Elephas maximus indicus: one gene and its partner. The protein of the gene in region 1 interacts with the protein of each later gene in a biochemical or structural test. Links are inferred from orthologs where the notes say so. Each region holds a gene or a part of one and is shown in the gene's direction. Other genes may lie near its edges.

What was found.
Region 2: the proteins of TNFRSF8 (region 1) and TNFSF8 form a complex in vitro, tested with the Homo sapiens proteins (2 studies listed by BioGRID and IntAct). The link is inferred for Elephas maximus indicus from reciprocal best matches to the Homo sapiens genes TNFRSF8 and TNFSF8.

What each region holds. Positions count from the first base shown.
Region 1 is NC_064821.1:51,915,316-51,923,056, forward strand, and holds the start of TNFRSF8 (tumor necrosis factor receptor superfamily member 8), read left to right. Parts: upstream 1-4,643; 5' UTR 4,644-4,771; coding exon 4,772-4,834; intron 4,835-7,741. UniProt on the Homo sapiens protein: Receptor for TNFSF8/CD30L. May play a role in the regulation of cellular growth and transformation of activated lymphoblasts. Regulates gene expression through activation of NF-kappa-B.
Region 2 is NC_064827.1:64,198,251-64,205,701, reverse strand, and holds the start of TNFSF8 (tumor necrosis factor ligand superfamily member 8), read left to right. Parts: upstream 1-4,435; 5' UTR 4,436-4,690; coding exon 4,691-4,885; intron 4,886-7,451.

The sequences.
Region 1 (7,741 bases):
TGTGAACGGCACTGGGGGGGCATGCACAGACAGGGCACATGCAGACCAGCACGCGCATCACCTGCATATGGGCAGGCCAGCAGCCCCATGCCACTTCTCCAGAAGCCCACAGTTTCCTGGGGCAGAGGGACACATGAGCCACTCATTACCATTATGACAGGCCGAGCTCAGTTCTAGAATTGAGGCACAGACAACAGCAGAAACCAACCGCCTTTCTAGCTGGAAAGATGGCTGGGGAGGGGGGAAGGGCAGTGCCAGGAAAGCAACCAAGAGGCGGTGGCCTGGGGGCAGGTGATGAAGAGAAATAGAAGTATGACTGGGTTCCAAGCGGAGGGACCAGCAGGAGCAAAAGCAAGGAGAGGCGAGAAAGCCTGGCATGTTGGGGAGGGCTGGAGCAGAGCAGAGGTAGGAGTCCCTGGGTGGTGCCAACATTTAAGTGCTCGGCAGCTAACTGAAAGATTGGCAGTTCAAATCTACCCAGAGGAAAGGCCTAGCCATCTACTTCTGAAGGATCACAGCCATTGAAAACCCTATGGAGCACAGTTCTACTCTGACATACAAGGGGTCGCCATGAGTTGGAATCAACTTGATGGCAGCTGGTTTTTTGTTTTGGAACAGAGAGAAGGCAAAGAAGCTAAAGCAAAGCTAGAGAAGTTGGTCTGAGCCAGGCTGTGGAGGGTCCTGGGCACCGTTGGATTTTTGTGACCTGGCTAAGTGGCTTTATGTCTGTGTGCCTCAGTTTCTCACCTGCAAAATGGGTACAAAAATAGGATCTGCTTCAGGGAGTTTCCATGAAGATCCAAGGAATCTATGCCTCAGAACTCTTGGCACAAAGCAAACACTCAAAGGTAGCTCTATTATTACTACTATTAAGCAAATAATATTTTTTGGGTAATGAGCCATGTCCCTGGCCCACCAGGGTTCTATACAGAGTGGTGGGTTGGTGGGTTTAGGAGGGTGCCTCTGGAAGCCCATGGAAGAGATGGGTTTCCGCGGCATCTCTAAAAATTTTTTTTTTGTGGTATATATATATATATATATAAAACAAAACATTAGCGATTTCAACATTCTTCCATGTACAATTCAGTGACATTTATTATGTCTATCAAGTGTTCAACCATCACCATTATTCATTTCCAAAATTTTCATCATCCTTAACAGAAGCCCAGTGTCCCCTAAGCAGTGAGTCCACCTGTTCCCCTCCTTCCTGCCCACCTCTGGTAACCACTAATCAACTTTGATCTCTATATACTTGCCTATTTTAAATATTTCATGTAAGTGGGATATACAAATTTGTCCCTTTGTTGACTGACTTATTCCACTCAGCATCATGTTTTCAAGGTTCATTCCTGTTGCAGCATGCATCAGGACTCCATTTCTCTTCATGGTTGAGTAATAAATAGCTCATTGAACCTATGTACTCCTTTTTATTTACCCATTCATCTGTTGGTGGACGTATAGGTTACTTCTACCTTTGGGCTATTGTAAACAGCGTTCTAATGAACACTGATATACAAGTATCTGTACTTTTGGGTATATACTTAGGAGGAGAATTTCTGGGTCATAGGATAATTCTATGCTTATATAACTTTAATTTTTAATGGATGTGTAATACCCCATTAAATAGATGTATCATGATTTATTTAACCATTCTCTATTGTGACACTCAGGATGTTTCCAAAATTTTGCTCTTATAAGTAATGTTTTGGGAAACAGCACTGTGTTTATAGTTTTCTTTTTCTGATTCAACTATTTCCTTAGTGTCTTTTCACTGAGATGAAATTACTGGGCAACAAGTCAGAAATAACTTTTTTTTTTTTTTTTTAGCTTTTTCTAAGAATTGTCTTATTGCTTTCTGAAAAGAACTGTAAAATTTACCAGCAGAGTATGAATGAATACTCCGTTTTCACCGCAACTGTGGGGCTCGATTTTACAGAAATCATTTTTATAAAGCAAAAAAAAAGATTAAATAAATCTAAAAAGTTCCTGAAGTTTGCCTTAATTTGCATCTTTGTTGATTACTAGAAAGGTTGAACTTTCAAAAGTTGTAATTGATTTTTACTTGTATTTTCCCTCATGCAAACTGTTTTGATGTTGTTTGGTTGTATGTGTGTTTAACAAGTATTTATTTATTCAAAACACCAGCTCTTGTATTGTGGAAAGCTCTAGACTGGGAAACATATATCCTGGGTTCTTCCCACCCCTGCCTGGCTTTGGGAATATCCTAGGCAGGCTACTCCCATAACTTACTTATTTAACATAGTCCCAGCTCAAACATCCTACGACACTGGGCCTGGGGCATCCAGGGGAGAGCTCAGAAGTGGATCTCCTGGGAGGGGGCATAAGAGGGGCAATTTTTCCAAGTGGAATCCAGGAGCCCAAGGAAGATTGGGTGTGGGTTGATCAAGAGTTGAGATTTTTGTTGGGAACGTTCTGGCTGGAGGTTATTGCTGGTGAAGATGGGGTTATTTCCAGAAGATAGGGGCCTGGCCTTCTACAGGACAGGCTGAGATGTAAAAGCCTGAGGGTCCTTGGGTCTTTCTGGGCTCATAGGAAAAAACCTGTCCAACTTTAGTTAGAGAACCTAGGGCTGCCTGCCTGTTTCTGAGCCCTGGTTTCCTCATCTGAAAAAAACAAACAAAAAAGTGGCAAAATAACCATTGTCTTGGGCCTACCCAGTGGCTGCTCAATAAACATTTACTGAATGAAAGGAGTCAAAAGAGAACCTCTGGGATGAGAAAGCTCTGGCGGAGAAAATCATCCCCCGCACAAATGAGAACCTAATTAGAATGAGGCTTGTATTCTTTCTTTTTTAAAATTTATTTTGTTGTTGTTAAGAACATACACAGCAAAACACACACCAATTCAACAGTTTCTATACGTACATTTCAGAGACATTGATTACATTCTTCAGGTTGTGCAACTATTCTCACCCTCCTTTTCTGAGTTGTTCCTTCCTCATTAATATAAACCCACTGCCCCTAAGTTTTCTGTCTCATCTTTTGAGTTGCTGTTGTCAATTTGATTCCATATAGATAGTCCTTAAAAAAGCATAATGTTCAAGGCAGACATTTTTTGCTAGTTAAGCTAAACTATTGTTTGGTTTAGGAAGATGTTAGGGGATGTTTTTTGTTTCAGGTTTAAAGATTATCTCGGCACAACAGTTTCAGGGGTTCATCCAGCCTCCATGGCTCCAGAAAGTCTGGAGTCCATAAGAATTTAAAATTCTGTTCTGTATTTTCCCCTTTTGATAAAGATTCTTCTATAGAATTTTTAATCAAAAAGTTCAGTAATGGTAGCTGGGTTCCATCCATTTCTTCTGGTCTTATGGCCAAAGAGGCAGTTAGTCATGGAGGCAATTAGCCACACATTCCGTATCCTCCTATTCCTGACTCTCCTTCTTCCTCTGTGGCTCCAGGCAAATACAGACCAATTGTCATGCCTTAAATGGCTGCTTGCAATGAACTAGAGGCACTAAACATGTTATCAGGCCAATTAACTGGGATGTTCCAGGAAACCATGACCCTAAGCCTTCAAACCAAGGAACTAAATCCTATGAGGTTTTTGGTTGTACATAAGCAGCCTCAGCAATTTATTGTTTCTTTTTTCTATGTCAGAGTGCCAGCCTCCTCCTTTGAGCTGAAAACTCTTAGCGGGCGGAGAAACATCTGTGGATTGATAACCACATACGCTGTTCTTCTGTCCATCCATGTTTTTAACAGTCAGTCCAACCACCCATCCACCCATCCACCCACCCACCCTCCCTCCCTCCCTCCCTCCCTCCCTCCCTCCCTCCCTCCCTCCCTCCCTCCCTCCCTTCCTTCTTTCCTTCCTTCCTTCCTTCCTTCCTTCCTTCCTTCCTTCCTTCCTTCCTTCCTTCCTTCCTTCCTTCCTTCCTTCCTTCCTTCCTTCCTTCCTTCCTTCCTTCCTTCCTTCCTTCCTTCCTTCCTTCCTTCCTTCCTTCCTTCTTTCTACCCACTCACCCACCTACCTATCAGTCCATCCATACCTATCCATCCATCCATCCATCTATCCATCCTTCATCCATCCCTTGATTCACTTTACAGCAAATATTTACGAATAGGGGGGTGTGTGGATGGTGTTGGCTTTCTCTGTGAGTCTCCTGACTCCAGCTGTTTCTTCCAAAGAACCTACAGTTGGAGGAAGAAGGTTGGCTTGATCAGAGTGTCAGGAGCAGGAACCTGCTCAGGTCTCACTTTTCATGGGGTGGGAGTAGAGACTTTGGGATCAGATCACGGTCTCCTAGTCTCCTTTGAGCTCCACACCTCCTGCGGGGAGCTGCCTTCTATGTTCCTCCGACCAGCCAGGACAGGGCAGCAAACTCCAGGCCTCCTCCCTGGTGCCAGGGGACTCATTCAGTCGTCAAATCCGGGGCGGGCCATTCAAAGCGCAACCTACAAGTGTGCTCCCGGTAGCCTGTCCCTCAGTCATCTCTGCACGTTTTTGCTCCCCACACCGCCAACCCCTGGCGGATTTTTCGTATTTGTTATTAGCAATGTTCCTGGAAACCGCTCTAGGTACCCAGCGAGCCTCGGGGTGATGGGGGAGGGAAGAGTTGGGGCCAAACCCTTGGGGAAGGAGCACACACTTTTGAAGTGATTCACTATGTGCGTGCGGTGCTGAGGGAGGTGAGCTCCCAACCCCCGGCGCCTGAGGTCTACAGCGCGCGTCTACGAGCTGTGGGGACCGCACGTGGGTTTAGGGCGCTTCCCAGTCTCCCCGGCTGGGGAGCCCTCCTCCGGTCGCCGGGATGCACGCCTTCCGTGCTGTGCTGGGACTGCTGCTCCTCCGGGCTCTCCGAGCCCCCCCGACGGTAAGAGGTGACTGGAGCTGGAGCGGGAGTTGGGGGCGGGGGGAGCGCTAGCGATCCAGAGCCGCCTCCTTCTCACCCTGTACCCTGAGCCCCAGACAACACGCGTGGGGGCGCAGGGGAAGGGGCAGGGAAGCTCTTCACCCCATTCCCGCCCAACTGGGGTGAGGGGGCGCAAGTGACAAGAAGGGTGGTGGAATCTACAAGTTCTCACAGGTGGGTGGTTGACTGAAGGGCTAGTGGGGGCTCCTCCTCCCTGCCGTCGCCAGGCGCTGGCGATCATTCATTCAACATTAATTGAGCTGGGGGCACTGCGTGGCACCAGACAGACGCTGTTTATCCCGCTCGGTGAGTGGCCCCGTCGGGGTCCGGGGCTGATCAGGTGAGGCTCGTGGGGTCTCGGGCAGGCAGGTGGGGCCTCCCGTGGTCAGAAAAGGTTGGTGCCTGGGCTCTGTTCCTCTGCCTGATTCTTCCAGCTCTTCGCCCTGAGGGAGGGTGGGGGTTGGGAGGGTCTAGTAAGGGAGGGAGAGTTGCGTGTGGGTGAGAAGCAGAGGTGAAGATGCTGGACCAGCCAGAGTCGGGCCCCCAGGCCCCAGTCCTGCCTACCAACCATGTGAGGATTCCTGTCCTGGAGCACGTGGTGGGCATCTGACCATTTAGAAAGGTCAGTACTGACTTCCTTTGGTGGGAAGTCCCACCACCGAGTTTGGGGCTTCTTTATAGGAAAACTGAGCACTTACTGGTGGCCAGCACCAAACCAGGCATTGGGGGGAGAGCTCAGATTAACACAATGTGGACCTGGTCACGTCATCTACTGCTGTCAGTGCTGTGTGCAGGGTCTGAAGGGCAGAGAGAAGCCCATGGGCCACCATAATATCCTGGTGGACCCTGGGGTAGCACATAGAGGGTGTTGGTGGATGCCTGCTGAAAACAGGTACAGGGGGCAAAGGACAGAGCAATAGCAGTCCGCTTGGGGGGAGCAGGGTCTAGCTCCCCCTCTAATCCCTACAGGTAGAGAGCGACCCACACTTGGAACTTAGTCCTATTCCTCCAAATCTGAAATCAGGAAAGAGAGGGCCCATGGGCTTCAGGCAGACGGAAGGAGGATGTAGGCAGGAAAGGGAACAAGCATTCCAGACACAATGGTGAACTCAGCAGAGGTAGAATTCCCCCATCATCTTCCTGGCCCATACTGCAGGTACACCAAACCTCCCTCCTAGGTCCACTCACCTCCCCAATTCCATCTCAACGGGCAACGTGAGACACCCTCAACAGAGTGAGCAGCTGACATCCTTACAAGGCAGAGACACTGACTAAAGAACACCCTTCCTACTTCCCCAAACCCTTTGCTCATGACCCCGGGGGAGGTGAGAGTTTGGGGTGCCAAGATCTTGGGGAGAGAAGGGGAACCAAAAAAGTGAGAGGGCCAGGCAGGCTTTGCTAGTGTTTGGTGGTGGAACCTAGCATGCTTCTTTTCTACAGAGTGAAACCTCTATATATTCTCCAAAGAATGTATGAATATATCCTCAAAGCAAAAACTATGAACACTACAGATAAAACTAAGTTCTTTTGACATTTCCTCATCCCAATTCCTTCATAGAAGTAACAGCCCTCATTGATTTGATGTGTTTCATTGCAACCCTATACAAATGTATGTCCATATCTTTATATTTTTTTAGCAGAAATATATAGGGTTTTCCACATACAATACTATATGGTACCTATGTTTCTTCATTTGATTTTCACAATGTCTACAGTATGTCTTGGAGAATTTTCCACGCTGATAATTATAGATCCTCCACTTGTCTTTTAAAATGCTGTCTAATATTCTACCAAGTGGGTGCTCCATAATTTAATTATTTATGTTCCTTCTCAATGGGTAATAAGGTTCGTACTCCTTTTTTTTTTTTTTCCTTCTGTTTTTATTGCTCTTGCAATGTACAGCCCTATATGGAAGCTTTTGGGAATGTGTGTGATTCTTTCCCAGGGAAGATGTGAAGAAGTGGGATATTGAGGTTACAGGGTAAATATGTATCCAAATGAAAAGATATTGCTGGATTGCCTTCCAGGGTAACCAATTTGCCCTCCCACCAGCAGTACATGAGGGTAACGACTTCCCCACATCCTAACCAACGTTTGATCTTATCAGAGGTTGTATTTTTGTCAATGTGACTGTGAAAAGGACTCTATCCTTCTTGTTTTAATTTGCATTTCCCGCCTACTAGAGGGGTAAGCATCTCTCCTGAGGGCCCAGCTCCTGGGTCATTTCTTGGCATTGGGAATGTGGCGGTGGGGGGGGGGGGATCTGTGGGGGAGGGGACTGCCTGCCCAGCACAGTACTTCCTCTGACCATCCAAACCTTTTTCCACTTCTGTTTTTCCCATAAAAGTCTGAGAAGCTTATTACTACAAACAAACAGATAAAACCCCTCAAACAACAACAAAGCAAAACACAAGCCAGGGCTTGAATCTCTGACTTTTAAATCCTTCTTTTTGATTGTACAAAGCATCATTTTGTGGCTGGCAGCGGAGAGCAAGAATGCCTACTTGCTGGCATGGAAACTTCTGAGGAAGACATTTAGCCTGTGACGCTTTGTATCACAGCCTCCCCAAGTGTGGCTTTTACAATGTTATCTAGGATGACTTTTGCAAATTCTGAGAGAAGAATTTATTACCATGAGGCTTCCCCTCAACACTCCACCGTTTTCACCCACAAGTAGGGCGTAGGGGCAAGCCCACGGCATTCCAGAACCAAATGGTGAACTCAGCAGTTAGGAGAATTCCCCCATCATCTTCCCAGCAGTACTAAGGGTACACCAAGATTTCCTCCAGTGCGCGTGGAGGACACACACACACACACACACACACACACACTCCAGTGGCTGTTGAGTCGATTCTGACCATGATGACC
Region 2 (7,451 bases), on another chromosome or scaffold:
GTTTCATTCTGGAAGTTAGATAGTTTTTTTCCTTAAACTAATGATAGTTTTGTTTTTTTTTTCCTTAAACTTATAATTTTCAAATGGTTTCAGGCATCAGAATTCCCTAGGGCACTTGTTAAAACAGATTGCTAGGCCCCAGCCTGAGCCTCTGATTCAGTAGGTCTGGGGTGGGGTCTGATAATTTGCAGTTCTACCAATTCCCTAGGCGGTGCTGACGCTCCTGGTCCAGGAACCATGCTTTGAGAACTACTAGTAGCATGCTAGCGCTCTCGCAGTCCCTTATAAGGGGAAAAAATGAGTGTCCCTACAACTGGTTCCTCTTCATATCTTCAAAATGGTGTTCCCAGTTGAAGAAATAAGAGACTGTTTGTCCACTGAGCCTCAGGTGCTGCAGCCACACCTCAGCAACTAATTACAGGCTGACAGGAAGCTGGTGGTCATGCTCACAGGGCCATGTGGGAATGCAAAGGCCAGTGGGCAGCCAGGTAAGCCATCTGGAGAAGGATGGGGCAATGGGGGCAGATGAGAAGAGGCAAACATGCCATCACACAATTCCTTTGTATAAACCACTCTTCTAGAATTTTCTCTTTTCATAAACACAAAGTTAAGACAAACATTTGTTGAGGGTTGACCATAGGCCTAACACCAAGTAAAACAGGTATTCAGAAGACTGGGAAAATGCAGACCGCCCTCAGTGGGACTCTGACTCTCACACAGAAGGCAAATTCACACATATTCACACACTTGAGAGCTATAAGTCAAGACAAGTAGATAATTCCATAAGATGTGAGATAATGTGGCATGGAGATAGAATGTTCTGGAAAGAGGATGTTGGTGGACTCAAGAGATCTGGACAGGCTGTCCTGGAGGAGGTGAAGCAGGTGGGCAGAGCTTGGAAGGACAGGAAGGATCTGAAGCTATGGAAGGGTGAGGAAAACATGAGAGGAGGCTTGGACGCAGGGGAAGTATTAGCAGAATAGGGCTGAGAATGTCCACAGGAGTCTTCTAAGCCTGTCTCTATTCCTGCCAGTGTGCACTCCCTCAGGCCATTCTCATTCCTGTGTCCTCGTTTCCGGATTTGAGAAATTAGCAGTTTGGATTACATCAGTTTTCCAATTTTATTCCATCATCAAATGGCCCTAGGCCAGAAGAAGGTGACTGAGCAGGTGGGACCCAGCTCTTCTTGTTGTCCCACCTTTCTTTCAGCCAGAGCAGCTCCACTTTCTTACATTTTTAAACTCTCCATCCAGTTTCACTTCCAGAAAGGATTTGAAAGCCATTCAACGAGATACTCTGTAACGGCTCTTTCCACTCTTACGTTGGGTAACTGAATAGAAGAGAGAAAGAAGCCAGTTAGCACAGGGGATGAGACCTACTAAGATGGTCAGACTAGATTCTGGAAGAGCTTGAAACGCAGAGAGGAGTTTAAACCAGCAAGAGCATGAAATAGGGAACCATCGAAGGTTTATCAGTAGAGCAGTGCACATGGACAGGGATGAAATCTGGCCCAGAAGCTGCTAGAGAAACAAACTGATCTGAAAATCTCAACTCCTCAGAAGGTTCTGAGTAAAAACAAAGGGCGATTTTCCCCCTTGTCAGCTCTTCCCTCCTAGGACATTACACTGTATGCAAAACTGGTAACTGTAAGACAAACATTTTTTTCCACTGCCCTTCTCAGCCCCCTGGGCCTTCAGGAAGACCAGCACTTGAAGCAAAGCATCTTTATTTTTCAACACCCACAGCTTCCATTCAATAATTAGAAGTTTTCCACTTTCATCAAAGAGGCTGAACACAGAGGGCCGAGGAAACGGCCTGTTCTCAGCAGCTCTGGGCAGATTAAAGAGCCCCCACAACTCACTCACTGCCCATGTCCACCAGAGGACTTGGCCTTCTCCCCAAATCAGTCAGTATGCACCCCTCCCCCCAGAAAATACTGGCTTACTCATTCCAATCACCAGACCAAATGAACGTGTACACCCACTTCTTCCAACACCAAGCCCAACTTGGGATCAAGGGGATCTCAACTTCCTCAACTGTCAAATGGGTATGCTGCCTACCATTCTACTTAGCCAAAGAAAACAATTCACTTTTTGATGTCCCTTCCATCTCCAGGGTCCATGACTTTATGGATTCACTGGGAAGAGACATCCAGACCAACTCCTAGAGCCTGACCTAACTCAGGTGATACTCAGAAGTTTAGGATCTATGTGGGGGTGGCAGTGGTAATAATCCAAGCTTGGTTTTGGATACAGAACATTTCTTTTGGCAGGTCTGGGATCGCTATGGCTCTCAGAGATGTATGTAGCCAAAAATTAAGCAGAAAAGGGAGGAGCACTAAAAATTATCTGCTACTTCCCAGGGTGATACCAAATGAAGTCTCCAAACAGGCACATCTGGAAACAGCAACTAGGCAGTGATTCACATTTTAAATAAATGGTGTTTTGAAATAGAGAGTCAACCAGGGAGATTCCTAATCCAGTCATTAGTAACCACAAATATGTGGCACAGCTCTGTTCCCCAGAGAATCTATCTATTGGATCTATCTAAATTCCAGGCTTGGTCCAGAGGACCACTTGAGGTGTTTAACAGGAATGGTCTAACACCATCTGCCAAGTCTATTCCCATTTACAAAGCACTTTTACATCATTATCTCATTTCATCTTCACGGTGACTGTCAACGCTGCTATCCTTAGCCCATTTTACCCATGAGAAAAAGGAGGGGCATAAGTACTTGTTCAAAGACCCAAGGCTAATAAGAAATAGGGCTGAGAAAGGCCAGGTGTCAGGTTTTCAGATTGAATAACACGGCATGGACTTTGGCCAAGCCGGTGAGGATGTGTGCCCAAGCTCCTTCACTGAACAGCATTTGTGACTGTGTAACTGTTTCTGGCAGTTTGTATCCTCTCTGAGCCTCAATTTTTCCCATCTGTAAACGGAAACATGTAATCTGCCTCAGAGGCTGGAGGTGAGGAGGGAGTAAAGCAATATATGTAAAGCTCCTAGCACTATGCTAGAGGTTCATTTGTGGTAGTCACATGCACACACATACACATCACATACATGCACAACACACACACCACAACCACACACCACATACATACCTCACACATACACTACACATACACTACATACATACCAGCCACACATATACCACATACATACACCACACATACACTACATACATACCAGCCACACGTACACCACACACATACACCACATATACACCACATATACACCACACATACACCACATATACACCACACATACACCACATATACACCACTCATACACTACATACATACCAGCCACACGTACACCACACATATACCACATACATACACCACACATACACCACACATACACTACATAATACCAGCCACACGTACACAACACATATAACACATACATACACCACACATACACCACATATATACATCACACATACACCACACACACACCACACACCACACATACACCACATATACACCACACATACACCACATATATACCACACATACACTACATACATACCAGCCACATGTACACCACACATATACCACATACATAAATCACACATACACCACACACATACACCACACACCACACATACACCACATATACACCACACATACACCACATATACACCACACATACACCACACATACACCACATATACACCACACATATACCACATATACACCACACATACACTACATAATACCAGCCACACGTACACCACACATATACCACATACATACACCACATATAACCACATACATACACCACACATACACCACACACGCACCACATATACACCACACGTACACCACATGCATACACCACACAGAATACACACCACATACACACACACACCACATTCCACACCATACCACCTCCCCACTTTCACCCCCACTGCTAATTCCTTCCCCTTTTTATGAGCTTTATGGCAGGCCCCGGTTTATCTACAAGTTTAACAGATTCCAAAACACTCTGCGGGAGTTTTTGTTCAGAAGCAAGGTTTCTAGATTCCTGCTCTGTGACAGTATCTTTTAACCTGTTCCCAAATTTCAAACTGCCAGGAGCTTGCCTCCCTTTGGATAAATCTCCACATCTGAGGGCTTTTCCTTCTCAAATATCTTGAAGTGTTTCCAGTTCTCCCCAGGAGTTAACATTCTCAAACTGAACCCTTCTGAGTCATCCTACTGCAGTCCAAGGAACCTGGCCTTCCTCAGCCCCAGCAAAGAGACCTTCTCTGAGGAGGTCTTCCGAGCAGCAGGCCTCGCTGAGGAGAATGTACAGCTTCTCAAGCAGGAAGGCGTTTTGTGGCTGAGTCTAAGTGAAACAGAAGTTGCTTCGTGCACACACACACCACACACACACACACAGGGAGGGAAACCGTCATTTTCCTACGCGCCCTCTGACATCAGCTACCTTCTCTGTAGCTACAGTTTCTCTGCACTCAAATTAATCCCTGGCGATGAAAAATGAACCTCTCCCCCACCCTTGCTGCTGCCTTTTGCCTTACGCCCCCAGAGAAGAGTTTCTTCACAAGGCAGCCGGTGAAGGTTTTTTTCCAAGTCACATGATCCAGGATGCAGGGGGAGAATCCTTCTTGGAACAGAGATGGGCCAAGAACCGACTCAGATGAGGAGAGATAAGGTGTGATGTGGGGGAGACTATATAAAGAATGGACCCTGGGCTGCAGCAAGCACTCAACAGCGTGGCCCCTTCTCAAGACACAGCCATGCATGTGCCAGCAGGCTCCGTCGCCAGCCACTTGGGAACCACGAGCCGGAGTTACTTCTACTTCATCACAGCCACCCTGGCACTGTGTCTCATCTTTGCTGTGGCAACCATTATGGTTTTGGTAGTTCAGAGAACGGTAAGTGGCCTCCTTTTCCTCGCCTTTCCTTTCTGATTTTTGTTGTTTCCCCCAGAAAGAGCCTTGAGAACAAACTAATGGATTCGCTGAGAGCAAAAACAACATACATGTATCATGGAGAGAAAGGGAGAAAAGAAACAGGAACTTTATTCTCTGAAACAGTCTGGCTTTTTCAGAAAAACATTTGTGGAACCATTATCTCAAAACTTTCTAGGTTCACATGAGCCAAAGGAGTAGAGGGGAGCTATTGGCCTTTAGAGACAGAGACTTGTAATCAAGGAAGGAAGCAATAAGGGAATCTGACATGTTTACACAACTTGTTATCATGTATTCAAGGCCTTGAGACCAGATTTCAGTGTTCCATACACTCAATCTAAATGTTCCTGAGGTTTCTGAGGCCTCATCCATTGCCAAGAGTTTTTAACAAAGAGCTAAGTTTCAGAGGCCAAAGTCTCTCAACGAAGGAGCAGGAAAGCCCAAACTCCTTAAAGTGTTGGGCATTCAACGTTAAAGCCCACAAGGCGAACTGAAAGCTAGTTTCACAAGCCACCGCTCTGATGAGCTTAGAATGTCAGAAGAAACGTGGACCACAGAGGCAGAAAGCAGAAATGTTTTTAACACCTGTTCCCTCAAAGATTCCTCAGAATACTAAAACTGCAAGCAACTGTAAGGTACACGGTGTTCAGGGTCAAGCTGTCTCTGCACACTTACTTTGTTTGAAGTAAATGTTTAGATTTGTATCCAGAAATAGAAGATGAGATGAAGGAGGAAGTTTCTTCATATTTTAGAAAATTGATGTTTAGAGAGAACTCACTAGTATGTATGTTATTGAAAACACTGCACTGGTACCATATATGTTCAGGAACGTTTTAAATGAAGGTTTTGTTTTTAAGAACAGGTAATTTAAGAACTACCTGTTCTTAAAAACAAAACCTTCATTTAAAACGTTCCTGAACTTTTTTTTTAAGAACGTAACACCTCCCCTCCCCCACCTTGCTAAAGTGAAAAATCTTGCCTTCGTTACTTCATAGCACCCAGTTTTCACAGTATTACAATCCCGCAGAATTTGTTTTGTGTTTCTTCACTTGATTCAGGCCAAATGCTTTATAACTTTTCAAACGTTAAAAATAACACGGCTTTAAAGGGCTTTGGATCCATTTCTTGAGTGTCATCAAGCTGAGAAATGTAAATGAAGCTTTGAAGCTCACGTCTCCGTAAAAGTGAAAGAAAACAGAGTTGTTAACATTTTATTTAGGTAGTGAATTTTTTAAAAACCATAATTTAATAGGCTCAGCTACTTCTAAGTATAATACTCCTGAAGATATTCTAGGGCACCTTTGTGTGTGTGTGTGTGTGTGTGTAGCAGCTCTTCAATTTCTTTAATTCTAGTTTAGAGTAAACTAGAGATGTGTCATCTTACAGGAACGGCCGAAGAAAAGAAACTGAAATAGCTTTTAAGACGTTCTTTAGTTAAGCGATGCTGATAGAACTAAAAAGAAAAGGAAGAAGGAAGGGAGGGAGTTAGGGAGGGAGGAAAAAAGGAAGGAATGGAGAAAGAGGGGGAGGAAGAAAGTCAGAGAGAGAGAAAATCAGGATGGTGAGGAGGGTTCAGAGGGGAGGGTAATGATATATAAAGCTAGAGAGAGCTCCAGAATGGTACCCATTAAAATCCATCTTTTAGTTGAATTGATTCCTGCCGACACAAGTGAAGCGAATCTTTCTGCCTCATTTTCTTAGATGTGGAGAATGAGGACCAGAGAGGGGACAAGGTTTGAACTAAGTCTCATCCTGAGAAAGTGATAGACTCAAGACTGCTTGATTGTTCCCTTTGCCAATACAGCCACAGAGCGTCAAGAAACTTTTTTCTCACTCTACTTTTGGGACCGTTTTCTTCTTGTGCATCTGCTTCTTTGTCTTACCTACCCCTCGTGTCAGATATGAAAGGACTCGCTTCACAATCTAATTACATGGTTTCATGTGCTGTGATTTCCTATCCTGTGAAAAACCAGTTAATTGCTTAAAAGCTAAGGCCTGTAATATCAAAAGTAATAGTGATATTAAATGCTAAGTGCTTTACACATATAATTTCCAATAAATTTTTCAGACATTAACTGTTGTAATAACTAAAAAGAGAGTTATTCCCTTGAGCTTGAGCTATCAGGGAAGACTTTGTACAGGTAAAAAGAACATAGGCTGGCTTTAGGACAGGTAGAACTTAGACAAGTGAAAAGGTTCTAACAGGACCTCTGGGAAAGAAATCAATGGGAAAGACATAAAGAACTTACACTCACATTCCCATTATTAAAAATAGAATAGGTTGATGGCCTCATAACACTGTGCATGAGGTTGTCCTAGCTGTGAATGGGGGCAGCAGTGGAAAACAATGAGAATGGTTTTACTGGCCTAAGAAGTCACAATTCTAGATCAAAAGACACATACTCAGGCAACATTTAAAACAATATACACCTATGATAGGTGACGATGATGGAAGGTAGGCTTCCTTGTGATCACAAGTTAGGGAGAGAGAGTTATCCAGGCACATTTAACAAAAATGTCACTGGAGATT